4 linked regions of the Alligator mississippiensis genome follow. The protein of the gene in region 1 interacts with the protein of each later gene in a biochemical or structural test. Links are inferred from orthologs where the notes say so. Each region holds a gene or a part of one and is shown in the gene's direction. Other genes may lie near its edges.

Evidence for each region.
Region 2: the proteins of UBE2D3 (region 1) and TRIM69 form a complex in vitro, tested with the Homo sapiens proteins (2 studies listed by BioGRID). The link is inferred for Alligator mississippiensis from reciprocal best matches to the Homo sapiens genes UBE2D3 and TRIM69.
Region 3: of the proteins of UBE2D3 (region 1) and SQSTM1, one has a biochemical effect on the other in vitro, tested with the Homo sapiens proteins (2 studies listed by BioGRID, with this or other methods). The link is inferred for Alligator mississippiensis from reciprocal best matches to the Homo sapiens genes UBE2D3 and SQSTM1.
Region 4: the proteins of UBE2D3 (region 1) and MUL1 form a complex in vitro, tested with the Homo sapiens proteins (3 studies listed by BioGRID). The link is inferred for Alligator mississippiensis from reciprocal best matches to the Homo sapiens genes UBE2D3 and MUL1.

The regions. Positions count from the first base shown.
Region 1 is NC_081825.1:163,317,328-163,324,995, reverse strand, and holds the start of UBE2D3 (ubiquitin-conjugating enzyme E2 D3), read left to right. Parts: upstream 1-4,665; 5' UTR 4,666-4,756; intron 4,757-4,775; exon of another isoform or gene 4,776-4,856; intron 4,857-5,198; exon of another isoform or gene 5,199-5,332; 5' UTR 5,333-5,476; coding exon 5,477-5,500; intron 5,501-7,668. UniProt on the Homo sapiens protein: Accepts ubiquitin from the E1 complex and catalyzes its covalent attachment to other proteins. In vitro catalyzes 'Lys-11'-, as well as 'Lys-48'-linked polyubiquitination.
Region 2 is NC_081834.1:40,909,078-40,916,315, forward strand, and holds the start of TRIM69 (E3 ubiquitin-protein ligase TRIM69), read left to right. Parts: upstream 1-4,221; 5' UTR 4,222-4,916; intron 4,917-7,238.
Region 3 is NC_081832.1:74,667,538-74,675,471, forward strand, and holds the start of SQSTM1 (sequestosome-1), read left to right. Parts: upstream 1-4,932; 5' UTR 4,933-5,019; coding exon 5,020-5,215; intron 5,216-5,326; coding exon 5,327-5,422; intron 5,423-6,427; coding exon 6,428-6,645; intron 6,646-6,800; coding exon 6,801-6,957; intron 6,958-7,243; coding exon 7,244-7,333; intron 7,334-7,875; coding exon 7,876-7,934. UniProt on the Homo sapiens protein: Molecular adapter required for selective macroautophagy (aggrephagy) by acting as a bridge between polyubiquitinated proteins and autophagosomes.
Region 4 is NC_081836.1:5,457,900-5,465,717, reverse strand, and holds the start of MUL1 (mitochondrial ubiquitin ligase activator of NFKB 1), read left to right. Parts: upstream 1-4,809; 5' UTR 4,810-4,883; intron 4,884-4,898; exon of another isoform or gene 4,899-5,295; 5' UTR 5,296-5,321; coding exon 5,322-5,441; intron 5,442-7,016; coding exon 7,017-7,104; intron 7,105-7,818. UniProt on the Homo sapiens protein: Exhibits weak E3 ubiquitin-protein ligase activity. E3 ubiquitin ligases accept ubiquitin from an E2 ubiquitin-conjugating enzyme in the form of a thioester and then directly transfer the ubiquitin to targeted substrates.

The DNA.
Region 1 (7,668 bases):
ATAAAACAGATACATTATCCCTACATTAAAACAAGCCCAATCAGTTGCTGGGTACTCCATGCTGTGTATTTAGTGATGTTTCTTTAACATTTTCTGCCATATTTCTGGTCCTTTGACACAAGAGTTGTTTTCTAAACTCAGAAAATCTTTTAGCAGGAACTGGAATTTTCTGGAATTTTGGATAAAAATAAATCAAGAAAAGACTAGTTGAGTGATCTAGTGTGACAAACCCATCTTCTTGTTGTGTTTTGCAGCATTTTTATTCTATCAACAATTTTCCATAACAAACTCTGGATGTCTGAACCAACACTGTTGCAAGCCTATTCTGTTGTTCTGTGGCTTCTACTATTAAGTGGACATATTTTCTGTCTAAACTTCCCTTTTTTAGCAGTGCTACAAGGGCCTGAAGCTACATTGGAACTAGAAGCAGCCATCCACATTACCGTGGTCGAGAAGGCACTCAGTTTTCATTCACTACACTCAGTTGCCTTTTGATCCCTTCTAAACTTTTCATTCCACAGGTGTTAATGACCCTCTCTTCTTTTCAATAGTCTTGATGTTCTACCAATCAAGCTAGCTTTTGTTCTGCAGTTCTGCTGTATGTTAGCTGCTTCTGGTAATGAAGCTCCTGTTTCACAGCAGTGCAAATTGTTTTTAACTTATTCCTATGAGTTGTATTTGTTTTTTCTTCAATCTTAAACAGAATAATACAGCCCTAGGCCCCTAGCATAGTAGTAAAGCTTCTAGTTTATTTTTAACTGTAGAAAAATATGTATTGTGTTATATGGGTTGATGCACCTCACCATCTATAACCCCTTTTCAAAATCCACACGTGGTAGGATGGTACAAGAAAAATCTCTTGAGCAGGTACTCAGGAACTCCTTTATGATGAGCTAGAGGCCTCTAAGCCACCTGTCATATTAAAGCCATTACCTATTTGTTTTATTGTTTATGGCAGAGGATAGGGGAGGGAATCAAAGGTTATTTCTAGATTTAATAGCAGATTTAATAACAATTACAGCAGGCTGAAAAGGCATATAGGGACTAGCCAAATTACATGAATAACAATCCCACTACCCAACAGCTTATTAAGACTGTCTTTTAATTGAATCCAGAAATTGTAACTATTCCCACTAGCATGTTTTTATTGCTGCCTGTCATCAAATGTCTTATGTCAAAGGTCTGCAACCACTCACCTGTGCTAAGTACAAATCTATATTAAGCCTCACCCTGTAAACCATTACCTGTGAGTGCTCTCACTATTATCAATTAAATACTAAATATTAATTATTTTAAAAGTTAACAAAAGTACAGTTTCCTTATTAGTCTGAAGGGTAAATTAATTGGGAGGGCGGGAAAGGGAAGGACATGTTTTCAGTCTGAATAATCTTGTATAAATAAAAATATTCATGATTTTAGTGCATTTAAATTATCAAGCATTGTGTTAACAGTGTTTTACATTACATTTTTTTTAAATTGTGGCTGTTAGTTATAGGTTTAATTCACCATGTACATTGTGTGCTCAGTAATTATTTTATTAAACATTCTCAAGATTTCATTCCATGCACTTGATTTGAAAACATATGTTTTTAATATAAATACTGAAATAAGAAATTTAAGTAGCATGACTTTTTTCATGTTCCATTTTCACTCTTTACTATGTTACATAAAGATTAACAACGTAAGTCTGCTATCCCAAATAGGGCTATTCAGAAGCCAGTCAACTTTCAGAAAGGGACCATTTTATAATTTTTCATGAAAAATGTGATTGCTTGTGTGTGGTCCAACAGCCAATTGAAATAGTTTGGCAGAGTCATTAAGACTTAGGATCATAGGAAAACAGGGCTGGAAGGGACCTCACGAGGTCATCTAGTGTAGCCCCTTGGTCAAAGCAGGACCCCACTTACCCTTGGAGTCAAAAAAGGGTGGGAAACACATGAAGTCTGAAAATTAATTAAGAGGGACTGTGGGGCACTTCAGTCACAACTGTCTACCTCCTCTAAGGAATGACAATGTGCTTTAATGGTTTAAAATAGCAGTTGGCAACCTTTTTGGGCTGCGGGCCAAAACAACACATCTTGGATCACATGCAGGTAGGTGAGTGCTAGGACCTGACCACTGCCACTGTTCCTCCCTGCTGTAGCAAGGAAGAAGCCTCTCCCACCAAGTGTTACTGATGCCCCATGTCTACGAGCTGGGCTCTGCCGCCCAGATCCAGCCTGTAGGCCACTGGTTGCCAACCCCTGGCTTAGAAAGCTGTCAACACTAATAAAAGACTGGTTCAGGTCAGTTCTGTGGAATATCGTAATTATATGGTATAGAGCAGGGGATGTTAACCAGGGGTACACGTACCCCTCAGGGTACTTGGGAAGACCCCAGGGGGTACATGGCAGTGGCGCAGAGAAGCAGGGGTACTTGGGAAGCATGGCAGCGGACTTCCTAATACCCCCGCTTCTCTGTGCTGCCATCACATACCCTGGAAGTGCGCCGCTACGTGCTGCTCATTGACCAGCAGTGGGGCTCCAGCCCCCCCCCCTCAACTGGCCGCAGGGGGACACCCCCCTGCCCATCCAGGGGGTACAATCCATGAGGGGTACCCACCAGAAGGGGTACACTCCTTAAAAAAAAGTTGAAAACCACTGGTATAGAGACTGATTTAAAAGTGGGATAACAGGAATGATATGAGACCTACACTGGGCATGGAAAATAGTTATCATACAAGATACATATCCTCTGCAACAAGTAGAATCTTTCTTATGTTTGACAGTACTATTACAGTAATACTAAAGTCAACACAACAAAAACAAGCTCAGATTCATAAAATAATATGGCTGCTTGGCTTTGTTTCTCAATTATGTATCCTTGCTATTTCTCAAGACTATATTTACTAGCGGTGTGCAAAGCAGATAGCATTCAATTCGGATTCTGATTCTGCCAGATTCGGGGGACAGTGATTTGGTTCACTGATTCAGATCACCATCCCGATTTGATTTGGCCCAATCTGAAGATTCAATTCTGATTTGGAGAATCAGCGATTAGGCCATATACAGTTTTGTGTTTTTATATACGTTTTATACGTACCTCAAGTACTAGGCGCAGCTTGTGAATGCCAAGATGGTGGGGCGGATGGAGTGTCCCATGGAACCGTGTGGGGGGGTCCCACACATGCTCAGAGGTAGTCCACTTCCAGGTCCACCGCCAAGCGCGTGGGGGACCTTGCCGTGCCCTCCCGGCTCAGTGATCCGCCACAGGGGACCCTGGGTGCCCCCTTAGACCCAGGAGTCACCAGCTGCCGAGCCAGGGGGCCGGGGGGGTCCCCTGTGTGCTCCACAGCGAACCTGGAAGTGTACCGGATGTACTTCTGGTCCACTTAAGAGTCTGCTGCCAACCACATGGGGGACCCCTCCTGTGGGATGCTCCATCCACCTCACCATCTCAGTGTTCAATACCTGCACCTGGTACCTCAAGGTATGTAGAAAAAACATATAAAGCTGTATCTGTGGCCAAATAATTGAATCTCTCCAAATCAAATCAGAGGCTTCTGATTCAATTCTGAGAGATTAAAGGGTCTCCTGATTCGATTCAGAGATTCGGTCGCTGAATCAGGCCGAATCGAATCAGCCACCAAAGCTTCGCATAGCCCTACTATTTATTAATAACTAAACCTCTCTTCATTGCCTTGAAAGAGTCCCCTACTCTAAACTTTCCCGTTGTTTGTCTTTACTTTCTTACGTGGTTGCTGCCTTACCTAAGTACCTTGAGGCTCCTCCTTTGAGATCTAATCATAACTAAGCTTGCACAAAGGAAATTACACAATTCAGAGCTGAAAACACCTTCGTTAATGGATTTTTGTTTTTCCAGTTGCCTACACCAAGAATTGAGAGACTGTGACAGAGCACCACCACTGATGAAGCCAGATAATCAATGGGTGTGGAAACCCCCTTCCCCAAAAGAGTCCCACAAGTTTTGACGCATCCTCTGGATCTGCAGCATCCCATGGATCTAACGTTGAAAACCATGGTGCTGCCTGTAGAACAGCACTAGGTGAGCCAGTGTATCTCTGGGTTTATCATCATTATTCAGACAAGGTCCTTTGGGCCATTCTGCCATCTGTTATTAAACCAAACAGTTGGAAAAATTCTTCTTTGCACGCTTTTGGATACAAACTCCTTTTGTCAGGCTGAGGGAGCATCTGGTTACAACCTCTCTCTCTCAAACATGGAAGTTATAGCAATTCAGCATTTTTGGCATTTCTCTGGTGAGGCTGTAAAAAAATAAGCCACACCTCAAGCATCACGTCTTCTCTAGTCCCGAGGCCTTGTGCGTGCCTCCTTCTACCTTAAAGTCCCATTTCTGGCTTCCTGCCTAGTCTGGAGCCCCTGCCTCGCCACGTGTCTCACACAATTCACTAGTAAATCACGCACTAAGTTGAGAGCGGACACACGTGCGGGCAAAGCAATTCCCAGGCCACATATACGAGGAACCCGCCCTCAGGTTAGTACCTGAGACCATACGACCGCTCTGCAGGTGGCACCTCCCCGTTTGAACTAATCCACTTCCGTCCCCCCTCATCCTTCCGCCTGACTCTCTCGCTCGGAAAAGCACTCTGGCGGAGGGATACGAGCACGCCGCTCCCAACGCAGATCCGGCAGCGGGCGCCATTTTGGGCTCCCGCACACGCTGACGCACGCACGCACGCAGGGGGTGGGGCCTAGCTCGTGGCGGCACGCGGGGAGCCGGGACGAGCCTTCGCTCCGTGAGTGTCTCAAGAGTCGCGGAGCCGATCTCCCCCTCCCCCTCCCCCAGGGAGCCGGGACTGCCCCTCCCGTACAAGCTTCTTCCTGCGAGGGGTGGAGGTACGACCCCCCCTCTTCCCCTCGGCCAGGTCAAGGCAGGGCAGCGCTGGGCAGGGACAGGAGCGCGGGCGCTCGCTCTCGCGAGACCTCCTTCCCCGCCCCCCATGAGCGTGCGAACAGCGCGTCACCCGCGCCCTTGTGGGTCTGCGTGCTCGGAGCCTCACATTCCCCCCGCGCGTGCGCAAAGTCCTCCGCCCGCGGCGGCGGTTGGCCCCCCCCCGCCGTTTCCCCCCCCCCATTCTGAGGGGGGGCGTTGGCGGCCACTGCTGGGCCCGCCCCGCGGCGGGGAGGGGCGGGAGGGGGGGCGGTGCCTGCACGAGCCGTGGCCCCTCCCGCTCCCCCTCCCCCTCCTTTCGGCCTTGCACCGGCGGCGGGTGCAGCGGCTGCACTCGCGCTCTCGTGCCGGGTCGGGCTGGGCAAGGCAGGGCCGGGCCGGCCTCACCACTGCTTCTCTCGCGGGCGCGTTGTGTCCGCAGCGGCGGGAGGGGCTGCGCCGTGCGGGCGCCCCTGGCTGTTTCCGGAGGAAGGAGAAGCGGCCGCGTCACCCAGCGCGAGCCCGGCGGCGGCGCGGAGCATAAGCGGAGGCGGAGGCAGGCCCGGCGGCGGCACCCGCACCCACAATGGCGCTGAAACGCATCAACAAGGTGAGGAGCGGCCGGGCCGGGCGAGAGGCTGCGGCTTTGTCTCGGTCCCGGGAGGGGGGCTGGCGCCGATGTCGCTGCGGCGACTCCGGGGCTCGACGGAGGTGTCGGCAGCAATTCCCCTTGGCCGGCCCCTCGTTGAGGCCACGGCATCTCCCCCCACCCGTTTGGGTCCCATTTTACAGGGTGGGGCCGTTTTCTGTGGGCTCCGGCTCTTCCGTGGCCGGCGGGGCCTGTACCCCGTGCGACTCGCCCTTCGCTTCTGGCCTGTAACTTCTTTCCCGCATTGTAAGATGGCGGCGGGTTCGCCCCGTTCAGGCTCTTTCCGGGATCTCTGGCTTTCTGCAATAACATGACACGCACACACACCATGCACACGCACGCCCGGCCGCTGTGGCGCGGCAGCTGCGGTACCCGGGCACTGCTGGCTGTTCTGCTCCCCCAACAACCCCGCTCTGGCCTGGCCTGTGTTCCTCGCCTTGGAAGAGCCTGCGCTGCCTTCACAAGGGGCGGAAGTGTTTGTGTGCAGTACGGAGGATGGCATTGCTCAATCCGGCTGGGTGGAGTGATATACGTGTGTGTATAAATATTTTTTAACAGCTAATGCGGAAAAAAAAGTCATAGGGCCATATGTTTAAATCACTTCCAGAGAAAAAGTTTTAGTGGCACAGTGGGATTTAGGGAGCTCTGTGATGCTCTCCTGTTTCAGGGATGTTCTTGTGCAGTGCAGCAGCCAAGTTCCCAAATGAGGTATCCCATGATTGAAGCAGGATGGTTTTAAAATATGCTAAATTTTGGGGTGGGGAGGCAGAAATATTTGCTCCTCCTCATTTTGAGCCTGCCAAGAAGGTAGAAAATCATAGTATCCTGAATATTCTGGAAGCCTTTTCTTGGGCACTTCTCAAGTACTATAGTGCTGTCATTATTTGATGTTACACATCATAATAGTGGTGTCTTGATTGACTAGTTTGACTAAAATAAGGACAAATGAAGCTTGTATCCTATACCTCGCATCTAATGTTGAATAAAGCCCTTAAAAATGTAAAAGCTCTTAAAATCACTGCAAGTAGAAAGTGTGGACTTGTATTACAGCTACAGTATTTAAATAATTTCAGAAAAACAATTCCTGGTGAATCTGCCATCAAAACTTGTTCCCCTTGCATTAGTGGATATTATTAAAACAGGCTAAGGGACTCCCTGGTGTGCTTTGTCATCAACTTGCAGTAAAATGCATCTGAAACTCAGGCGTCTGTTCACAAGAATAATTTATGGTCAGGTGTATGCCAAGGCAGGCTCTCAAATGTGTAGCAGATCTGATATTTAAAACATTTAAAAAAATAAAACATAACTTTGTTTCAAGAACTCTATGTAGATTATAAGCTTTGTGGAGCAGGGACTGTCAGCTACTCAGGTCAGTGTCTTGTTCTTGGTTGGTTTTTTCCACTACTGGAATCGGTTATACAATATCCAAGGCCACTGTTTAGGACTTTTAGTTTTGGTATAACCAGACTTAAGTTATGAGGTATACCTGTAAAGTGATGTTTTGTTTGCATTTTTTACTTTTGTTTTTAAGATTCTCTATCTCAGAAAGTTAAAGTTTATAGCAGGGCTGTTGTGCTTCTTGGGCTTCTGTTGGGCTGACACATCAATTGCTCTGACTGCAACACAGCCAGAGTCCCTGGGTTCCCCCTCCTTTCTCCATCTCCTGCTTCCTATCCCTGCCCCAGGCGGTGGGGCAGTGCAGTTTGGCTTGGGGAGCTGAGGGTGAACCTGGTGCCATGTGAGTGCACAGTGCAGCTGTGGGGAGGGTTCACCTGAGTAGGTGCATGGTGCAGTGGTGGGGAGGAAGGGGGGAAACATCTATGTAGCATGTGACCCAGGGGACCTGTGGTTGACTCATGCGGCCCCCAGTACCTCAGAAGTTGGTCAGCCTGGTTTATAAGTATCCAGTTATCCAGGTACTAAGACTGCACGCTGCTTTCACCAAAAGCAGTGCTTTCCAATACAAATGGCTCAGGTTTGACAATAAAGTGTAGCAAAAAGAGTTTCTTAATGAGAATGATATGAATTAAGGATCTGCTTCACTACCCACCAGAGCCAGAGATCGGTGTTGTGTCATTGGAAAAGTGGAATCTCCAGACCTTGAAACTCAGTGCTTCCTTATACCCTTC
Region 2 (7,238 bases), on another chromosome or scaffold:
CTTCCTCAGCCAAAGATGGTAAGTTACATGCTTTCTTTGTCTTGCTGTCAAAGAGTTCAGTACCAGACTGATCCTCACGTTGTGGAGGGGAGTGTGCAGCTTCCTGCATTAGGAAGCAAGGGCCAGAGGATGAAGAACAGAGACGGTGTCCTCCCACTAGATTTGTAGATGTTTGTGGTGTACTTTGGGAGTGTGATCACCCTAACATTTATACCTAACAATATCTAGTCCTTCAAGAGCAGGGGTGGGCAGTTATTAGGGCCCAAGGGCCATGTAGAAAGTTCTTGGTGAGCTGTCATAGACCAGATCAGCACCCTCCTCTTCCCAACTGCAACAGTTCACAGCTCCCTGTGTGGCCTGGATTGGAATCTGGGGGTGGCTGGGGCTGGGATCTTGGTGCAGTGATGCAGCAGAGCCAGGACAGTCTCGCAAACTACTCCCCACATGGCCCTACAACAGGCATGGGTTCTGTGGGCAGGGGCATGCATGCAGGGAATGTATGGCTGTTCTGCCCTGGCCCTATGCTGCCACCGCCCTATGATCCTGGGGTCTCTGTGGAGACCAGCCAGGACCCTTGTGGGTAGGGCAGGATGGGAGCTAGGACTGGCCACACATGCCATGGCCTGGGCTGGGCAGGACCAAGGGACCCATCGTGAGCCAGACAGATTCCCTTGGTGGGCCACATCTGACCCACCGGCTGTATTTTGCCCACCCGTTCTAGAGACTCCTCAGTTCTCCAGGAACTAGAGAAAGCAGCCCTTTGAAACGAGATGAATTTGCAAAGCACGTCATAGGCCATATTCCAGTGTATTGCAGACTGCATTGGAGATAGGAAATCATTACAGTGGTTGAGTGAGAGGGGCTAGCCCCATATCTGTTAGCCCTTTGAATACCAGTAAGGTTTAGTATGCAGCAGAGAAAGGGTAGAAGAGCAGCTGAAGCATCTTGCTTTGGTTCCAGAAGACATAAGTTCAGGTGTCCCTAGACTCATGGTGAATGCTGTCCTGAGTTGATCTAGCTGTAAAGGGGGTATGGGTATGTGGTTCTGGGAGGGTGGGGGGTAGTAAAAGCAGCTGGATGTGAAGCTGCCTTTACTACATAACCACTAGTATGGAAGGAAGCTATAGAAATTGGTGTATTTTAAGCATATTTCAGACTCCCCATTAGGCTTGGGTAGACTTAATTTGTGTGAAGGTTCCACAAATATGTGATTTGGAATATACTGCTAGAGGGATCAGTGCTTACATTGAGGAATTCAAACTGATCTCAAAAGCTACAGCTGGTTACAGAATAAGACTCCTGAGGTATAACTGCTCCTAGAACTTTCTCTAATTTTTTGGTAGTAGTATTAGGATCTATTAGGACTTGTAAGGAGAGAGAGCAACCTTGGGACACTTGTCTATATGTAAACCTAAAAGTGGGAATTCCTTGGGGACCCTTTTCTGGGCATGATTCTAATTCAGTAATAGGGAGGATGGCCGCTTGGAGGATGGACTAGAGAATGCAGAAACAATTTGTGGGCAACATCAAACTAGAAAAGTTTGCCAGCTGTCTGGAGAATCAGATCAGAATTCAGAATAATCTTGATAAATTGGAGAAATGGTCAGAAATCATGGTGAAATTCAATAAAGGTACCTGCAAAGTGCCACAGTTAGAAATCAACTGGGGAGTGAACACTTGCTGAAGCAGGAAGGAATCTGGGAAGTTGCATGAAATAAACTTCTGAGTCAATGATGCTGTTGCAAAAAAGCAACTGTAATAGTTAGACCAGGGAGATAACGGGTTTTACTCAGAACATGGGAGCTGGCGAACTGCACTGTTTTGGGTAGCACTCTCAAAGAAAGATGTAAACAAATGAAGGATATTCTAGCAATAAGAATTATGAGGGGTTTAGAAAATATGACCTTTGAGGAAGTTGAAGGTCTAGAAAAGAAGGCTGAATAGGGACATGTCTTGTAGAATGTAAAAGGCTGCTGAAGAGTCTGGTGATGAATTGTTCATCCTGTTGTTTTGGGAAAGGACAAAAAAGTGTAGCTTAACTTGCAGCAAAGTAGATTTATAGTAGATGTGGGGGGTGGATACTAATGAAAACAGGGACATGCTGGAACAAGCTACACATAGGCGGTGGAAGAACAGGTCAAACAAACATTTGGGGATTCTCTCAGTATGGTGGATAAGATGGCCTCTTGCCATTCCTCCAGCGTAGGCCTTTTGGGATTCTAGATTATTGTGGCTTGGGTTTTGGAGTCTTTCCAGTTCCTTGTCCTCTAAAATAACTGTAATTACTCTAAGTTTTATTTTCCTCACTAATACATTTTATCTCTTTACCTTTTCAGGTCTTGAAGTTGTGCCTTGCTTTGCACTCTGAAATTGGCTTCAGCCCTAACCTGCAGTCCTGTCACCTTGCACCCAACTACTTGATATTTAAAATGAATGCATATAGCTTTGTAGTTAATACTGAATTATTGTTTCTGAAGTGGGAGGGGGGTGAGGGTCTTCTTGAAGTGAAAATTCGCTGGCATAAACTCTGATCTGGCACTTAGTTGTCTAGAGCTAAGAATTTGGGCCTTTTGCCCAAATTCACTGAGCTCTCTGAAGAGAGAGAGAAGCACTTGGTTACTAACATAAGTGCATTGTAGACATTAGATACCTTAGTTAGGTTAAAGAACACCTGCAAATACAATACAGGCTTCTTGCTACTTTAAATGATCAGTTACTTTAAAGTAAATCTTGAGATCAAGATCAAAATCCCTGGATTTTATTTGCAATTTATCCATTCTGTGCCTAAGGCATAACAGCAGAACTTATGTTGCAGACTTGAAAGTTGTACTGTCCTGAATCTACTTACCTGCATTGGGGATGGGGTAGGTGTATGCTTAATTGCAGCACATTTTGTCTTGTACATTTTAATAAAATATTGTGAAATATGTTATTTATTGAGTTAGCGGCATCTTGTAGTCTCACGGCACTGAATGCAGTGTGGTGCTCAAACCCTTTAAACTAGTGGTTCCCCACCTTGTTAAAACTAGGCACTCTTTTTAAAAAAAAAGCCAGTTCTTGGCTTTTGCTCAGTTTTTGACTACAACAACAAATAATAAGGGAATTCTTCTGTTTCGGGGAACTTTGGAAGGACTGCAACAGGACAGAATGTTTCTGATGCTATGGATGTGTAGGTGAAGTCTCTGAGCTTCATCTTCTAAATTAGGTGTACAAAAACATGAATGCAAATTTAGAAGTCTGTTTTCCCTAGTTCCCACGTGCCACCAGAACTTGCTAGCATTTAGGCTGGAGATGCAGCAATGAAACGTTACACCTTTAGAAACAGGCCATTTCCTTTGAAAGTTTAAACAAAATGAAATCTGATGTGACCAGGAGCGGATCCAGGATTTCTGAAAACGGTGCAGGAGTAACAACGGATGCTACAGGGGTGGCTGCAACTTACACCGCAGGGATGTCTGCGCCTTCTGCTCCCAGCCTCTGCCCCCATGACTGTGGGCAGACTTCATTTTAGCCCCTAAAGCAGGTGAAAATCCCCTCTTCCCCCATCCTGTTCGAGGCAGTCTCTTTCTGCTTCCCCCTTCCCCACAACTCTCCCACTGCCACTGCTGCATTCTCCACTGCTCAGGGAGCTGCAGAGGCAGCCAGGCTGAGCAGGACCTGGGCTCAGCCAGAGAGGGGGCAGTGGCAACAGCCTGGCTGGAGCAGGTGCAGGCAGGGGGATCCCTGTCCATCCCTGCTGCCCCTGTCCCCCACCCCCAGCTGGGCCCAGCCCTGACACAGCAGGCAAGAACAGCTCGGGCTTCTCACCTCCAACAGTGGGAAAAGGTGCCATTGCACTTCCCACCTACCTGCCCCTTGAACATGACATTTCTAATGAGGTGAAGCTCTGGAAAAGCTTGTTCTCATTAAGCTTACATTTGGGTGATTAAATTGAGCTTGAGGTTCCCCTTCAGTTATTTCATACAGGGATGTCAAACTCACTTCGGGCTCTGAGATGTATCTGGCCTGTGGGGTCCCTTGCAGGCTGGACTTGGTCTTGGTCATGGGGCAACAGTGACAGCAGCCACTGTGGGCATGGCAGCGCTGGTGGTCATTGCAGTGATGGTGGAGACAGTGGCTGCAGGCAAGGCAGTCACTTGCAGTCATAGAGGCTGGCAAGGTGGCTGCAGGCAGCCCATGGCTGTGTCAGACAGCCCCCACTCACTCCATATCCACTGAGGACCTAGGGGTCAGGATTTGGTGCCAGGCTACATCCCCCTCCTAGTCATGCCCAGCAGGCCAGGTATAGCAGCTGTATGTTTTCCACCCCTGATTTAATGGCAGGAGCACTGAAATACTTCTGAAGGACAATGTGAAGCCAGCATTATTGTTACAGTATTGCCAGTCTCTCTAGCTGACCTTCCTATATAATCTTCTGACTTTCCTGATGCCCCTAGATGAGCTGAGTTTTGTACAGCACTTTTAAGATGTTAATTGTTGGCAAAGCATTATCTTAGTTCCCTTAGCCTCTCCCCTGTCAGCAGGCCCTGCTTGTTGGAGCCCCGCGCTAGAGGAAAGGGCAGGGGCAGCACAGCGCACGCTAACTGCCGCTGTGCCTCTTGTCAGCTGCCACCTCCGTCTCAAACAGCCACGTCCGCTGCTGAATGGCCACTGGTCTCCTTCCAGATCACAACCGCATCCTCTGGATCTATCAGACCAGTGGCCATCCTCTTCCAGCCTCCAGGTCTTTTACTGCTGCCCCTGCCCCCGGGCTGTGACACCCCCCCCCGGTCCTTGCCTCCATGCTGCCCGGTTCCAGAACCTTCCCCCAGCCGCTTTCCGGTGGCATGTCTCAGTAACGGCCCCCTCCACCTCCTGCGTCCTCACCGCAGACACACGGGCCTGGCCCCAGGCTCGCTGAGGCCTGTCACCTATGGGTAAGAGCTCCGCCATGGGCTCGCTTAGCCTCGCCCCAGGGTTGGCCGGGACCTGCGCGGGGGAGCATTTACAGAAGTCTGCGTGTGCTTGGGGGGCGTAGGTGCCGGCAGGGGGTGTGCACTGTGAGTTACGATGCCTTTGCAAGGGGGGTGATAGGTGTGCTTTGGGTATGTGTAGAGCAGAGCTGCTGGATGTTGGCCAGTGTCTGGCTCTGGGCTGTCTGACGCTCCCTTTAGCTTTATGCCCAGCAGCTCTGCACGCTGTTGCTGTCTCCTTCACTACGATGTACCGCTGTGAATTGAAGCTTAGCACAGGAGGGGAGGGAGCACAGAGAAGCCGCCTTGATTCTGGCTGCTTTTCCACCCTGCGGCCAAAGCGTCGTGGTGTGACCTGCAGGAAGGCTCAGAGTCGTTGTCACGGTTGATGCACCTGCTGCCATGGGCAGAAGATCAGACCTTGCAGGGCATCTGCCTCCTCCCTTTCCAGTGTGTTTCAGACAGAAAATCCTACACAAGACCAGGCAGGGAAGAAAAATGCAGCCCAATAAGCTGTCATAGGGGTGAGGCATTATAAGGAAAAGAGAAGGGCTAGCTGGAGGGGGGGCACGCGGGTTTCTTGTGTGAGCTTTCACCGAGCCGAGGACAGGAATGACTGAGGGCCCAGTACCTTCACTGTGAAACTCAGCGCAGGACTATTTCTTTATATTTAAAAGCGCGCACGCGTGTGTGTGTGTGTGTGTGTGTGTGTGTGTGTGTTTTTACATAAAAAAAAAATGTCCTGAAGCGTTAAGGATTCAAAGAATCCCATGTGACCAGGAGTATTCAGTACATTTCTGGTTCCACATGTTTGTTGTGGCAGTTCCTCAAAAGGCAATAAAAGCTTACTACTGCTTTGTGGTAGGGAGACTGCTCCTTTAATTCAGGTGGCTGTGACTTGGATTTGCAGTGCTGAAGCTTTAGGGTTCAATTACCAGTGTGGCATGGGAGGGCTTCTTACAGTCATTTAGATCATTTATTAGGGCAGGGATTCCCAAACTGTGGCTGAAGATTGCATCAGTCTAGTTTTAGGACAAAGGTGCATGGTGGTCTGCAATCAATTTTGAGAGCTGACAGTGATTATTAGTCCAGAAAGTTTGGGAGGCTCTAGATTAGGGCAACCAAGATACAAAATGTAGCCAGGTAAAATATAAGTACAGGTTTTGATTTTCAAATAAGACACTTGAATTTTGGGTGCCCAGGGTGAAGGTGAGGGTAGTATGTGAGACTGGGTCTTCAAGAGCAGTGGTTTTCAAGCTTTATAAACTCAAAGCATCTAGGGTGGCCATCATAGAGGACATTCCAGTTTTCTGCTAGTCTGTCCTCTGTCCTCTATTGCTATGAAACCGGATACCTTTACGTCCTCTATTTTTCTGTTGAAGAGAGGGGCCTCAATGGAGGGGCCTCTCTTTTCTTGAAGAGAAAAGTAGAGGGCATAAAGGCATCCGGCTGTGTATCAATAGAGGACAACCAGACTGTCCTCTATGATGGTGTCACAGGCTAGCTGGGCACCGTGACTGTATCAATTCTATCACAGGCCAACTGGGCACTGCGAGGGTATCAGCCACTGGGCTGTTTGGTTCAGTTTCGGATCAAGGAGGCAAAGTTGGGAGTGAAATAAAGGCAAATTTATTATAGCTCTCACACACAACAGTTAACAGAAAGATAAATATGATAAGCAGATAATGCAGTATTAAACAGCTAATAGTAAATAATAACAACAGATAGTAACAACAGATAGAAAGATCAATCTGTCGCAGGCCAGCTGGGCACTGTGGGGGTATCAGCCACTGGGCTGTTTAAAACAACAGATAGACAGACATGGGTTGGCAACTTATTGATAGTCTCTCAATGCCAGGTGATTCCAGCAAAGTCAGGCGTCCCTGATCGATGCTGTTGGAGGGATTACCAGGGAAGATCCCTTGATCAGGATCTGATCCTCACTCACACCAGGAGTCTGGGGTCCGGGCATGGAACAACAATGACCATTCTGTTCCCTCCTTCCTACTGGTCACCTGATGCACGCACTTTTTATACCTAGTCTTATGCTAATCTGTTGGCTTTAGAGCCACTCACAATCTTACCCTCTAGCTGTTACCCTATGGGATTGAAAGGTGTTAAAAATTATCATAAAAGGTTACTACCCAGGCCTGGGTTTATCCAATAAGACAATTACAATGCAGCACCTTTAGGTTTGAAATTGACACTGCTCCGCCTAAGCCCAACCCCTTTTAGGTTTCCCTGAATATGCTTTCTTGGGATGTGCTTTCCTGGAATGTGTTGGGT
Region 3 (7,934 bases), on another chromosome or scaffold:
TGGTGCTGGCTCCTACCCTGGGGGTCTTTAAGAGGAGGCTTGACATCTACCTGGCTGGGGTCATATGAGCCTGTTTTTTCCCTCCTGCTGAGGCAGGGCGTCGGACCTAATGATCTACAAGGTCCCTTCCAACCCTACTTCTCTGAATCTATGAAGCCTGCAATGTTACGGCCAACACTGGAATCACAGAAGTACCATTTTTATCACCGTTCTGTCCAGTCCAAAGGCAGATTGTTCCCCGAAAGATTACTGGTAAATCTAAGCCAACGCTTATATGTCAGATATACAATCTGACCATGTATGAAAGCTTTTGCAGTCATATAGGTAAACCTCCACATGAAATGGCTGGGTAGAACAAGATGGATTATAGAAAAAAAGCACAGTTTAATACCAATAAATGAAGCTCCCTAACATCCGTCTATTTTTCTGAAACGTTCCCTTGTTCTCTGCAAACATGAAAACAGCTCATCAGGTTCGAGTGATTCTCAGCGATGTGAACGTGGAGAAGTCTCGTGTGGATTCAGTACCATCTTCAGGAAAGGTCTTCACTAACACACTGCAGCTCCTGTGACGCAATGATAGAAGGGGAGCGATGGGAAAAGCTCCTGAGACTCTGGGGGAGAAAGGAAAGTGCTCATGGGATATAGGTGAGTCAGAACAATGAAGTAGGCAAAAAGCAGGGGCCCTTTGAGGGGGTTGTGGATGACAAACAGGGCCAGCTTGCTTTTGTTGCAATATTTTAATTAGGAAGGAGCAGGACGCCATCAACAGCAAACCTAGCATGACTCAGCACACAGCAGGCAGGAGCGGGGAAACCCCGCATGGTTTCTGGTCCCCTTCCCTGCTCACTCCTGTTCAAGTTCTCACTGCTCACATTTTGAAGCTTTTCACTACGTGCCCCTCCCGATCTTGGTGGGTGCGTAAAGGAGTCAGGGGCAAAAGTGTTCAGGGCATCTGTGGAACGTGAGAGAAAGCCTCCAGCCCCTAAACCAAGGGCAGGCAATTATTTTGGGTGGAGGCCCGCTTACTGAGTTTCGGCAAGCCATCGAGGGCTGCATGACGGGCAGCCAGGGGCAGATAAATATTAATTTTCTAAATTTTTTAGGGGCCCCGCGGGCCAGATAGAATGGCCTGGTGGGCCGCATCTGGCCACCGGGGCCACATTTTGCCCACCCCTGCCCTAAACAAATCTGCAGGGAACAAGCACCCTCTCTGCACCACCTGGCTAAAGGTTAGTAATAGCCCAAAACAGTTGATGTTGGAGGGCAGTTTGGTGCCTGTAAAAAAACCTGGATGTTTTAAGACCATTTCCTAGCAGATAAGAGCCCAGTTTACAACTGGCCCCTTACACAGCCTCAGGATAGCGGCAAAAGAAGGAAGATACATGCAGAAGGAACTAGAGTGACCTTGTCAGGGAGACCTGGGCAGAGAGGCCCGTGCTATCCATGCTGCCTCTATGCTATGGATAAATAGAAGACAAGTCTATTAGCCATGACAAGCCAGCAATTTTCATCAGTCCCAAATTTGACAGAGGGGAAAAATGGAAAGACTGACGAACTTGTCCCTACTTCCCCCCCACAGTGTTTTCAATGTCTAGCGCTGTTAGCACCGTACATGTGTTTACAAACCTGGCCAAAGGTTCAATGACAAACATCCCACCATTTTCCTGCTCATGTGTTTAAACATTAACTCATTGCTTCAAGTGGGATCATGGACGTAAACCAGTAATATCAGCCAACGTAGGCTACTTTAAACAAAAAGCAAGTCATTCAGACTACTCTAAAAATAAATATTCTTCAGCTAAAAATATGGCATTGGGATTTGAAAATGACAGCTTTTATTTTCAAACACTAAATTGATTTACCTGGAAAGCGGATATATTTTGCAGTCTGAAAAGACATTTTTAAATATTTCCCCATCTAAAAGACAGAGCGAGAGAGATCAGATCTTTTAATTTAAAAAACCATTTAATTAATGACAAGGCCTCTCAAGCTTCTCCATTATCACAGGTTAAGAATGATATCACTAAAATTCAGGGCAGTGGGCCTCCAAAATGAAAGGAAATTAACATTGACCTGATACTAATTGATTTGTCTTTATGTAATTTTACTTGGAAGGTACAGACAGCATCTTCTGCCAGCTGGACTCTTGTCTGACCAGATTAAGAATCCTGTCAACTGTGTCTGATCTGAGAATAGTGCTGCCAACAATCCTGGAAAGTCCCCAAAACGTCATCCTTAATGTCACTGATGTTTATGCTAGCATCTATTTTTAAACCTCCAAATTCAGGCTCAGGAGAGATTGTTAGCTAAGGAATTATTCTAAGCTCATGTAGCATACAAGCCGGCAGGGGATGCTGGATACATGGTTGGATTGCTAACCCACCCTAAAGTTTGCAGTGCCATGTCTTTGCAAGCGTTACCCTATGTAGTGAGATGAAAGCTAATGCCAGTGTACCAGCACTATAATAACATCTGTTTGCCACGTAGACATACCCTTGGAAAGCGTGTATTAAACAAATGGAGAGGTCTTGTTAATTAACATACTCATCTTTTGGATTTCATAAAGCAGACTGGATTTTGGAGGCCCTCCCAACCAGCCGTCCTGACTAATATTGCCTTGTGACCTGATGGGAGCAGTGTAACCGTGTCAGTGCTAAAGGATGCTGGATGCTGTGCTTACGGCAGAACGGAGGTACAGATGTGACCATCTCTGTGACAAGGGCCCTGGGGTATCGTGCTGTAGCACAGCACTCGTGTCTCCATGCTGGAGGCTTGTGGCTGCCGTGTTGCTAAAAAAAAGACGTATCAATAATAGACTCAGTCCTCGGTGTAGGAGGCTCCTGGACGAGGGACAGATGTTGCTGCATTCCACTAATGGGGCTTAATGTTGCTGACAAGCCCCGGATAGCAGAACCGACTGCCAGCTGCTGGAGAGTGCTGCAGACTTGATAAGTCACTCCCAGGTGAAGTGAATCATATTTCCATAACACGAAGTGCTGGAAACAAGTATGTCAACAGTCACGCCTACACGGCCCTGTCTTGTGGTAGAGCTGTCTGTGGACAGCAAACACCCTTGCTTTTTTTCTTCTTCTTTTTTCTAAACACTCAAACCTATGAATTCTTCCATGCTAACGGGTTGGGTTTTTCTCAGTATGCAGGGAAATGGGACATGGAGTGAAGAAGTCCTTTAAGAGCAGGATTAAGCCAACAGGAAGCTGCTGGCCTTCACTGGAGAGAGGAAAAATAATTTGGGAGCTGGAAGGAAAGAGAGGAAGAAAGAGGGGAGGAAAACAGAGTGGTGAACACACAAGGGAGTGCCGGGATGAAAAGGCAGCGGGAGGCAGAGCATATGAACGCTGTGCTCAGTCCTGGTTTCCAAGTCTTGCAAGCTGCTGCAGGATGCAGAGGGGCTGGGGGAGGGGCAGGATCCAGCACACGGCAGCCCCTGCCAGGGCGGATCCAGGGGCGCACCGCTGCACCTGCACCCCTTTCACTTCTGCTCCACCCAAAGTTTCAAACCAAGTACCTGGCCGTGGCACCAGCATTTCTAGTCCGGCAGTTGTCTTCATGGCTCCTTGTCACCTACCTGATCCCTTCCGAACTCTCCAGTCCTCAGGCCTTAACGACCCCTCTCCCCTTCCCAGTGCCCTCATGAACCAGCTATCTGCCCTGCTCCCCGGCACCCAGCTTTGACCTTGCAGCCCCGCAGGCTGGCTTTTAACACCTGCCAGGGCCCTTCCCCTTGCTCCAGCACAGCCCTTGAACTCCAGATTGATTCTGAACGGGACATAAGTGAGGGCCGCGTGGGGCGGCGAGGCAGGAGACAAGAACGGGACACAAGTGGGGACCGCGTGGGGCAGCGAGGCAGGAGACAAGAACGGGACACAAGTGGGGGCCGCGTGGGGCGGCGAGGCAGGAGACAACGGGACACAAGTGGGGGCCGCGTGGGGCGGCGAGGCAGGAGACAACGGGACACAAGTGGGGACCGCGTGGGACGGCGAGGCAGGAGACAACGGGACACAAGTGGGGGCCACGTGGGGCGGCGAGGCAAGAGACAAGAATGGGACACAAGTGGGGGCCGCGTGGGGCGGCGAGGCAGGAGACAACGGGACACAAGTGGGGGCCACGTGGGGCGGCGAGGCAAGAGACAAGAATGGGACACAAGTGGGGGCCACGTGGCGCGGCAAGGCAGGAGACAACGGGACACAAGTGGGGGCCACGTGGGGCGGTGAGGCAGGAGACAACGGGACACAAGTGGGGGCCACGTGGGGCGGCGAGGCAAGAGACAAGAACGGGACACAAGTGGGGGCCACGTGGGGCGGCGAGGCAAGAGACAAGAACGGGACACAAGTGGGGGCCACGTGGGGCGGCGAGGCAAGAGACAAGAATGGGACACAAGTGGGGGCCGCGTGGGGCGGCGAGGCAGGAGACAACGGGACACAAGTGGGGGCCGTTTGCCCCTCACCCTGTGCGCCCCTTTGGCGAAATTCTCCAGCTGCCCCCAGCACCGGCATGAGGCGTAGGGTGGCCATTGTAGAGGACAGTCCGGTTGCCTTCTGCTGATGTGAATCTGTCCGCCTGTATGCACTGGGAGGTGTGGAGGGGCACGTGCCCCCCCCAGAGAGGCTCTGCCCGTGCTGGCAGTGGTGCCCGCGGGCAGATGGTGACTGCTCCACCATGGCCGGGGCACGCGCGGCCCGTGCCTTTGTGCGCTGTTTCCCTGTCGCAGAGCCCCGGCCCCGGCCCCGGCCCCGGCCCCGGCCCCCCGCGCCCAGGCTGGGACCCGGCGAAGCCACCCCGCCCGGCCGCTCCCCGCTACTGCCCCCGGGCGGGCGGGCGGTGCGGGGGCTGGCCCGAGGGGGCGTGGCCGCGCAGGCCCCGCCCCCGGCGCTATAAGGCGGCGCGGCGGCGGCCTGCCCGCAGTGTGCGCTGCTCGCGGCCGGCTCGGGGCGGGTGGTTACAGTCGGTGCTGCGGGGCCTTGTTGCTGCGCCACAGGCGGAGGCGGAGTTGGAGGCGATGGCGGCGGCGGCGGCGGCGGCGGCGGTGACGGTGAAGGCCTACCTGCTGGGCAAGGAGGAGGCGGTGCGCGAGATCCGGCGCCTGGCCCTGCGCCCCCCGCTGCGCTACCAGCCGCTGCGCGACCGCCTGGCCGAGCTCTTCCCCGTGCTGCTGCGGCCCGGCGCCGGCGCGGCCTGCCGCCTGCACTACCGCGGTGCGTGAGTGACCCCTCGCGCCGGGCCGGGCCGGGCCGGGGAGGGCCGGGGGCCCGGGCGGAGGGGCCTGGCCGCCCGCGGGGGTCGCTCACTGGGTTTCTCTCTCGCAGATGAGGACGGGGACATGATCGCCTTCTCCAGCGACGAGGAGCTGGAGCTGGCCTGGCCCTACGTGAAGGACGGCATCTTCCGCGTCTACATTAAAGGTAACTTCTTTTTCCCCCCCTCTTCTCGAGAGAAGCCTGGAAACATAGGGCGTGTCGTGGGCGCGCCGGATGCAGCCGGACCCCGACTCAGTCAGCGCGGGGCTGCCCATGTGCCTCCTCTTCCCGCGAACAACTGCCGGGCGACGGTGGATCCAGACGCTTGGCAGGTGTCGTGGCTGTGGAGGCTGCAGCCTCCGGGCACGGCTCGGTGGGGCTGGACGGTAGATCTAGCGCGGCGATTTGAGACGCGCGGGAGCCTCAAAGGGGGAGCGAGACTTGCCTCTTTCGGGAGGGAACAAATACCTCGCCAGGGGAAAGCAGTGTCATTTGGAAATGTGAAGCCCCAAAAACTTTTTGGGCCCCTTAAGTCCAGAAAACTGAAAAAAAGAAACAAAACCGAGTTTAGCTTTCTGCAAAAGTAAATGGAGAACCTCCTCCCAGTTGAGCGCTGTCTTCAAACTATGGTTAATAATAATACTGATTATTATTTCATGTTTCTCTGGATAATAATATAACTCTGATGTTCACCTATTTCAGAGAGAGAAACCTTGGGGGCACGTAATCTGCTAAAATTAGATTGTTTAGCAGTGCTAGAAACTAGCAATACAAGTAATACCCATACAAGCTAGCGGGGCAAGGGCAGCTTCTTCCTCAGTGCAGCGTGGACCGTGTCCAGTGACACAATCCTGTCCAAAAAAGTGTCTCCACAAGGAGGATGTACGCTTTCTTGACTTAGTCTTTCTGGCTTTGTTTCATGTTGCCCTCTTCAGCGTTGCGTTTCTTCCCCAGCTCTGTGCTTGCTGCTGGCTGGTCCCCAGATACCCGAGCATTGTTGAGGGCGTGCGTAATGCAAATGACCCATAAGCTGGCATCGTGGACACATTCGGCTCGTGTGGTCCGTGTACTAATGAACTCCAAATGTAGAAAGCTTTGCTGAGTCTTGTTTCCTAAAGGCTTAAAATAACCTGGCAGCTTCCTTGTAACGTAGAAACTCTCACTCTTTAGAGAAAAAGGAGTGCAGGCGTGAACATCGCCCACAGTGCAGCCAGGAGCAGCCCCCAAATGTGGTGCATCCCAACGTCATCTGCGATGGCTGCGAGGGACCGGTGGTGGGCGCTAGGTTCAAGTGCACTGTCTGTCCAGACTATGACCTGTGCAGCACCTGTGAGGGAAAAGGCCTCCATAAGGAGCACAACATGGTCATGTTCCAGAGTCCGTTTGAGGTGAGCAGTGTTTCTGCTGTGGAGAGGGACTGGTGCAGGGGGTGTCCAGAGGAGTTTGCAATTCCAGATACTGCATGTAGTTGCATGCTGTTGTGTGACTTGTGTCCAGGATGTAATCCAAGTATGGGGTCAAATGACACTGCAACTTCTTTCAGTGGTTCCCACGAGGTCGCTGGCTACGTAAGATGAGGCACGGTGCTCCTCCCTTTGCCTGGATGCATAGCTGGGGGTATCCAACTCCTTCAGCTCCGTGCCAGAACTCTGGGCAGGAGCAAGCCAGTACGGCACCGGAAAATCCAGCCCCTGAGCAAGGTAAGAAGGGAATGCTCTGCTGAATGAAGTGCTCGGACTAGTAAAGGTTTGATAAGTTGTTGCTGCTGTGGAGTGGGCTGGAGTCTGTGTTGGATGGGAGTGGGGAGGAAGCGCTAGGTCTCCATTTCGAATGCAAACCTGCTTGAATTGCACTTCCCTTGGATGGTGGGTGGAATGGGTTGTCTAAGCCTGCCAAGACCCGGCTTTTTCATTCCCTTGAGGAAAGTGTGCGTTTGGCACCTACCTGCTGTCTTGCATTAACAGAAGTTGTTTTTTTTGTTTTTAGAGCCCTCTACTAACAGCCAGCCTCAGGACCCCAATGTCACCTTCCTAAAGAATGTCGGGGAGAGTGTTGCAGCCTTTCTGAGTCCCCTGGGTAAGTGACTTTTTTTAACTCGCAGTTCTCAAATCCAGTGTTGGGGCTTGCTCCTATCTTGTACCAAGAGGAACAGTGGCATGCCTCTGCTCTAGAAGACATCCGAGCCATTTCTGGCTCCAGTCTCCCCATAAGGACCCAAGGGTGTCCTTTCTTGCAGAAGTATACTACACAGTGGTAAAATGATAGCATTTAACTGGGAAGAACCTTGAGCTAACTAGGTGACTTAAGGCTGCATCTAACTCCTGTGTTAGTGCATGTAACAGCTGCTTGCTCATCCTTTTAAATGAGAATGGAGAGCAGCTTTTTCCTGGCACAGGAATGGCTGGCATGTGCTTCACTTAACATAAAAGCACACTGAAAGCTTTCTTTTTTAAATTTTTAAATCCCCTGCAGATGAGAAATGTCAAACAAAATGATAACTTGCTGTTTGAGTTCAGAATAACTAGATTCCAATGAATGTGCTATCTTTCAGGGGACTTCCAAGTCTGTAGCTTGTATGCTAACTTACTGATTGCTTTTCCCTCTGCCTGGTTTCTTAGGCATTGAGGTAGATATTGATGTGGAACACGGAGGACAAAGAAGCAAAGTGACCCCCACC
Region 4 (7,818 bases), on another chromosome or scaffold:
GGGAAGGGTTGGGCAGCTGGAGGGAGGGTTTTTGGGTGGATGGCTGGGACTTCAGGAAGAGGAGTCTTGGGTAGAAATTCAAGCCTTTCACTACAGGAAGGCTTAGGCAGCTTGCTGAGGGCTTGTAATGTAGTCCTGGGGCTGCATGACTTTGCAGACAAGTTTGCAGACTCATCGCCAGCCCTCCAAGGGTTAAGTTTCCTTTAAAAATAGAATTTAGCTAGTGTTTAAGGAGTGTGTGTGTGTGTGTGTGTGTGTGTGTGTGTGTGTGTGTGTGTGTGTGTGTGTGTGTGTGTGTGGTTTAGAAATCACACCTCAGCTCTCAGCACCTAAAGACTGAATTAGCTAGTGGCAAAACACTTCAGCAGTCCCAGCCAGCACCTGCCAGCCCCATACACAGCCTCAACTGAATGGAGTGGACAGGAGACGTGATCTGAGGAGTTGTGAACTGGTGCAGGCCCTCAAAACATGATCTCCACCCCCCAACATGGACTGGGTGCTTCCATCTGCCGGCTGCTCTTCCCAGTGCAGCTCAGCAGACCTCTCACGTCCCACAGAACGTCAGGAGCCTGGAGCTTGTCAGACATGCTGCCATGCAGCACGATGATCCTGTCACATCTCATAAACTAAGCAGGGTTAGGCTTGGCTGCTCCTTGGAAAAGAAACTTCCTGGAGCCATCCAGCTGTTTCCAGATGTGCTGAGTAGCACTCTTCTCTCTGAGTCCATGGTACATGTCTAAGTCAGGGTGGTGGGGGGTATCTCTAACCAGGCACCTCTTAACCCCAAGCTCTGATCGGCAAGTGTTGCAGGTCTATCCAGGCAGCATGCACCCCCTGAGTGGTCTTGGCACTGCACACAGGAGTGATTTATAGGCATCTCTGAAGCTGTCGGTACTGTAATATATGGGCTGCACCAGAGGACTCCAGAGGTCACCAGCTTTTGTGGATAATGCAGGGGCAGCAGTGAAAGGATTAAAGGCCATCCAGGGGGATCCCAATCCAGCACAGGGGATTTGCAGCGGCTGCTCAGTTTGCTGCTGATGCACCAGCCTAGAAGGCGAGCTCATGCCTGGGATGACGCCAGCTCTTGTGCTAACCCTTTTCACTGGCCATTGTGCAATGACAACAGGGTTATCCCCAATCCAAGACACAATCCAAGCAAAGGCTGCATTCACACTGCTCCTTTTGTGACTGCCCCTGGGGCTGGGTTGTGACTCAGCTGCAGGGCTAGTGCTGGCATAAACTATAGGCTCCTCAGCTGAGTGAGTAACTAACTCTGTTCAAGCCAGTGTCTCCGCAGCTGGCAGGGCTGCATGCCCTATGTGTCAGCTCATGCCCTTTCTGCCTCTGGCTTTAAAATAAGCTCACCCAGGAATACTGGCATCGTTCTCCAGTGGGCTTAGATGTAGCTGTTCCTGCCTCTCTGTCAATGGCAGGGCGTACTTTTATTGAGTGAGCACAGGAAGGTTTTGCATCTAACCAAAGTTCAAAGCTCATCTCCCAGTGAAGTCCCTTTTGACAGCTGCAGCTCACAGGGCACAGAGTGACAGAGCTCTCCTGCTCCTAGGGTACCACAGGGACCCAAGTGTCTCTAGACTCTGCCCCCTGAATGGCCTGACCAGAAGAAGAGGGGAACTGGAGCAAGATCTCTGAAGCACAGCATGGGATATGAAAGCAAGCAGGGAAGAACTTCACCCAAGCTCTGTACCGCAACTTTGCTCAGGGATTTGCAAACACTCCATAGCAAAGGGGTGTGACGGTGAAAGAACTGGGCATGGTTGGGAAGCTAGTTATGTGGTGGCTTTCTGAGTGAGAGCAGGGCCAGAAGCAGGCTTTCCTTTTCCATTTTTTTCCTGTTCCCTCTTTCTTTCTCCTCTTCCTCCCATGCCAATTTAAACAGGGCGAGGTGGAGAGTAGATACTCCCCAAGAAGCAGCACATCCAATCAGAGCATGCACCATGCCTTTCCCCATACTTCTTTTATATTGATTTGGAGAGGCAACATCTAGAGTGGCTCAATCTTTATGCCCCTTTCACCTCCTAACCCTTCCAGTGGGGTTGCCAACAGATTATCAGTTATTCACAAAAGCTTTGGTGATGAGAACCTCTATCCACTAAGAAAAGGCATGGGAACTGATAAGCACACATAGGCATATGGATTTGGGGGTCAGAGGAAACCATTATAATCACCTAGTCTGCCTTCCTAAACAGTATAAACTGTTGTTTTAACCTAGAACTTCTTCACTGATCATTTAGGGCTGAACTAAAGTGTCTCTTTTATCAATGATATCCAATCTAGTTTTAAAGGTCCTAACTGTTGGAGAATGTCCGCATTTGTTGCTAAACTGCTCCAATGGGTGATGACTCTCACTTTAAAAAATGTGTGCACTTGCCATCCACTTCATCAAGGCCATGTTTCCTATTTTGCCAGGGAACTGGGCATAAGGTGAGCATGGGAGTACTTAGGAACCAGAATTCAGCCATTAGTCCAAACAGCTCAGAGGGAAGATTATGGGAGTGGAGAGTGAAAGTAAGTTCTGTATTGCATGTATGTGGCACTGGGGAGCCTATGGAAACGAGGTTTAGAGTTCCTGGCCAGGTTTGTGTCTGTTTGGCTCAGAAAGTCTTGACTCATCACCTTTTAACCACTTTGTCTCAAATAAAGAGAGCCCACGATGACTTTCTCTCCTTTGCTCTGAGGTCTGCAGACAAAACGCGTTCCACGAGTGCTGAGCATTGTATCAACAATGAAAATATCACAGGGCAATTCTCCTACAGCAGCAGGCTGGGCTCACAGGACCTTTAGCACCAGACATCACTGTTTGAGACATCACTCTGTTTGAACTGTTCTTGATGGTGACCTCTAGCGGCCACTTGCATGACAGATGTGTATACCCTAAGGACTGCCAAGCGGCCCTACAGTACAATAGCTGCTTATATGCATCCCTGGGGTGCTCAGATCCTGTACTGAAGTGATAGATATAGCGTAGGAACCTCAGTAAAACAGGACTGAAAATTACCTATGTGCATATCCCAAAGGATCTACCCCAGGCCCCATTCCCTCTTTGAAGGAATTAGAAAAACTGGTTTAGGTTCATTGCTACTAATATGATTTTGCATATCTTTCTTTACCTTTACAACACGGAATTAAGGTAAACAAGCACCATCATTTTCTCTTTTGGTGTTAAAAGTAGAGCATTCAGAGTGGCTCTGATTTTCTTTTGAAATATATGTTTTGTAAAGCAAGAAAAAATAGTAGCATCCCAAGCAGCCCAGGCCATTTCGATTCAAGAGTGGCTGGTAGGGGCCCCTGTGAAAGTTCCTTCTAGTGAAAGCTGCGGCCATGGGAGAACTGCTGGCTTCACGCTCCCCTCCTGGGACTGGCCACTTCCCCAGACATCAAAACCGGAATTGCAGCGGAGCCACGGTGTCTTCAAAATATACAGCCTATCCTTGTTGTGCCTGGCTCTTTCACGTTAGTGCTAGTTTCTACCTTTCAGATTAGTGTGAGTCTCTCACCACCTAGCGGCTACAAAGGCAGCAGCACAGAGAAGTATTGCACTGGGGTGGAACTAAGGCGGTGGTTCTCAGCCTTTTAAGACTTGAGGCACCCCTTGATAAGTTTGAGACGCCCCCTCTGAAAATGTCAGCTCTGAGTTTTCACTCGTTTGTTGACTGCAGAAAAATAATAGAATTTTTTTCTAAGTTTTTTTCCAACTACTCAGTTGGGCTAATAAAAGATATCACGTCTACTCAAAAAACCTTGCCTGAAAAATAACAGAGCAATTCTTCCATTGCAAAAAACTCAGAAAGACCCCAGCAGATCGGAAAGGTTTCAACACGACAGATTCCTGTTTGAAAGCTCCGAGTCTATCTCGGAAATCATGTCTGCACACCTAACCGTGCTACCATGGTGTGGCATCCTGCGGCACCCTTGAAAGGATCTCCAGGCACCCCAAGCTGCCACAGGACCCAGTTGAGCATTGCTGAATGAAGGGAATGGGACTGATTGCTTCTTGATGAGCCCCTGAAATTTTTCCTCTTCAACGATGCGCACGGCAGCACACGGATGGCAGGATACATGCTGGTGCGAAGTGTGTGGCATGACTGCATCCAGCTCGATGGCCAGAGTAACATCTGCCCATGGCTGCCTTCCTTCTTCATCCTGCTCCCCGCTTCACCCTTCTCACATGGGCACCTGATGCCACATCCAGGCTCCTAACCAAGAGCTGCTGATCCCTGCACTCTTCATTTCCCTTCCACCCCACGCCTGCAAGGGGAGTGGGCAAAACCAAGCCCCTTGGTTCAGTGCTTGAGTACGGATGCCCTGACTAGGCCTCTTGCCTTGCGCCCATGCCCAGCACGCGGGGAAGGCACGTGTCTCCAACGTGCTGGGGCCGGAGGTGTGACGTGCCCTTGGCCTGGTGCAAGAGGCGAAGGCTTCTGCACCGGACCTCAGCATTTTTGGAGGTGCAAATAATCTTCTACAGGACTCGCAGCTCAGCCCCTCTGAACATCTGTCTCTACACATAGATTGACACGTCTAAAATATGGACACCGCACGGCAAAATTGGCTTTGGGTGCCTAGATTTGTCTTAAGAGGATGGCCGAGGGTGCGCTCAGAGCACTCTCCCATGCCAGCACGGCCAGGGCCAGGGCCAGGGCCAGGAGGGGCAGGACCCCAGCCCTGAGCCCCTGGGGCAAGGTAGGCAGGGGATGCAGACAGATCAGCCCCAGCAGGGAGGGGGTCTGGGGTCCCCTCTAGCCTGCCTCTCTATGGCTTTGGCTCAGGACTCTACTGCTCGCGGGTAGAGCGCAGCCAATCGTCATAAGACGGCGCCGGAAGCAAAGCCTACCCGGAAGGCCCGGGTGGGCCGCGGAGCGGTGAGTGTTCCCCGTGTCCTCCTCCCGCACGTGGGCAGTCGGGTCCCCGCGGTGCGGCCCGCCCCTGCCCTCAGCCGGGCCGCAGTGCGCGGGCGCCGCTCGGCTGCTCTCGGGGGCGCTCGTTTCTCCGCCGGAGCTCGTCTCACCCCGCAGCCGCCGGGCATACGGGAACCGGCGCCCCCGGCTCCGGCCTGGGGGATCAGTCGGATGCTCTGGGCCGGGACACATCCCAGCCCAACACGGCGCCCGGTTCTGCCCCGTGTATTTTCGGATCAAATCCACTGTCAACATAGTCTTCGCAAGCTCCCCACCGACGAGGTCTGTGCGCCCGCCGCAAAGCCCAGTGACCCGAGCACGGTTTCGTCTGCGACGAGCTGATCGGCAGCAACCGCCCTTTTCTCCTCCTCCACAGGCGCCCGCGGGGTCCGACTGCTCGTGATGGAGAGCGGGGGGCGCCCCTCGACAGGCCAGGTCATTTTTCTGGTCACCAGTTCGGCGCTCACGGCGATTCTGTACTCGGTTTACCGGCAGAAATCCAAAGTGGCCCATAGCCTCAAGGTCAGTTGCGGGGAAGTTTCATTTTTTTGACGCCAAGCTTCCCGATAAATACGTTAAGGTGTTAAAAACAGCATCTTAAAAGGATGGAGGGGATATGCAGTTTAACAAGCATTTATTTGGATGCATCTCTTCACTGAAACGCTCCGTGTCCGCTTGTCTGAACTGTTTGTTTTTAGCTCCCAGGTTTGTTCGGGAAAGTTGAGCATTTCTTCTGTTCCCAGCGGTGTTTCCTTTTGTACGTTCCGTACGTTAACGCTGGTGTAGGGACTGTTTCACAGTATTAACATAAACTGGCTGGTATGAAGGAAAAAAAACCTCAGCGAGTTGAGATTGTTTAGACAGTTGCATTGATGCAAGTCATTCCCAGTGGCTGATAGAAAGTGTCCAGGCTGCAGGGCTCTGACTTGGGAGGCTCCGGGCACGTCTGCGTGTTCACTAATGTACAGTGCCGGCTTGTAAAAGGAAGTACAGACCGTCCTGGGACTTATGACACAATCGGTTCCTGAAAACTGCATCTTAAGTTGAAACGTAACTTGGAACCAATCTGCTCATAACAAACAATGTTATAAATGGGGGATTGGTTCCTGCACCAAGGCCTGATAACTTATTTCCACCAAAAATAGCCCAGAATTTTGTACTGGCTCAATTATAGATGAGTAATATAGCTACATTAATATATTTATATTGTAAATAGCAATCATACTGATTCGGAAGGACATCTTCGAGGTGACTTTACTGGACTTTTTGAAGGGCTCTTGGTTGGAGCCTTCTCAGGAGTTCTGGCTGCAGGCTTTTCTGGAGCCTTGTCTGATTTCTTAAAGTGTCCAAGAAAGTTTGGACAGATGTTCTCCCGGGAGATGAGCGACACAGCAAACTTGTTTGCTGGCATGGCATTGCATCGGATCAAGCATTGCAAGTTGAAACAGGGTGTCAATTTAGAAACGTTGTAAGTACAAAACATTGTAACTCGAAACGCAAGTCGAGGACTGCCTGTACTAAATAAATGCACAGTAGGCTGCTATACTGCGTATTAGTATGATCCCACATTTTTTTCGTGATGGCTGATGCACAGTAGGCTAATACTAGTGTGCCTTAGCCTAATAGTACATTTTTTGCCTTGACGCTGTAATGCCCAGTCAATCCATCTATTGTGCATTAAGTGTCTCATGTAGACATGCTCCTGGATATTATTCCCAGCTGTGTTATTGGCCCACTGAGTGACCTTAACAAGTCACTTTATAGTGTTAAATCTGCCTCAGTTGCTCCATTCGCAAAATAAAGAGGATGACACTTGCCTGCTTTATAGAGTACTTTGATATGTGATGAAAAGCGATAACTAAGAAGGCATTATTATTAATAATATAATATATTAATAATAAAATGGGAGAAGAAAAGGGAATAAAAAGCTATTGAGAAACAGAAGGAAACTGGCCTTTGTTTCTCAAAATCTTCCTTTCTGCCTTCCAGTTGATGATCTTCAGAAATTGGTCATCAATGGGAAATCTTCCTTGTATCTCGTACATAACACCCCTTTAGTCTATAATTACTCATCCATGTGTTTCTCTGTTTATATAGGGAGCAAAGAAAGTTAATCTAGACCAAGACTTGAAGAATATCCTTAGGGAAGCACCAGGAAAATGTGTTCCATATGCCGTTATTGAAGGTAATGTACATAAGCATTTAGTCCACTAAAGCAGTGTTTCTCAACCTGTGAGTCATGACCCAAAAGTAGATTGCAAGAATATATAAAAGGGTCAAAAGCAAACTTTAAAAATGGATCAACAAGATGAACTCTCCTTTAAAGGAGAAAAATGTGGGAAACCATGGTTTTTCCCTTGCACACTGGCAGAGTTCCAGCCTTCAAGGGGCTGCTTGGGGGTCCCCATTCCCCACACACACTCCCCTCCTTCTCCCCACACACTGGGGACAGGAGGCAGTGGGTCAGGAATGAGGGGCACTGGGTTGGGACTGGCCATGGATGTTTACAGATGGGTCCTGGTACAAAAAAAGGTTGGGAGGCACTGCATTAAAGGGTTCTAAATATAAATACCAATCTCTTCCTTTTGGCTTATCATTCTCCTAAAAAAAAAAACCCCAACTTTTTTCAAGCATCTCTCAAGTAGCTGAATCAAAGTGTGGTTAAGGAAACCCTGAATGAATAAATGTAATTCGAAAGGGTAAGGGAATTCCATTTCAGCATATACATACGCTAAATAGTTCCCAGGTTCTGGGGCTGTATAATCCCGAAGAGTTGCAAAATAAAGGCTATCCATTAAAAGGTAAACCTAATAGGCACTCTAGAATAGTGTCTTTGTTTTCCTGACTATCTTGTGTCCACTGCTATCTGACACAATAGGCCTTATTCTCCTGGGTGGTG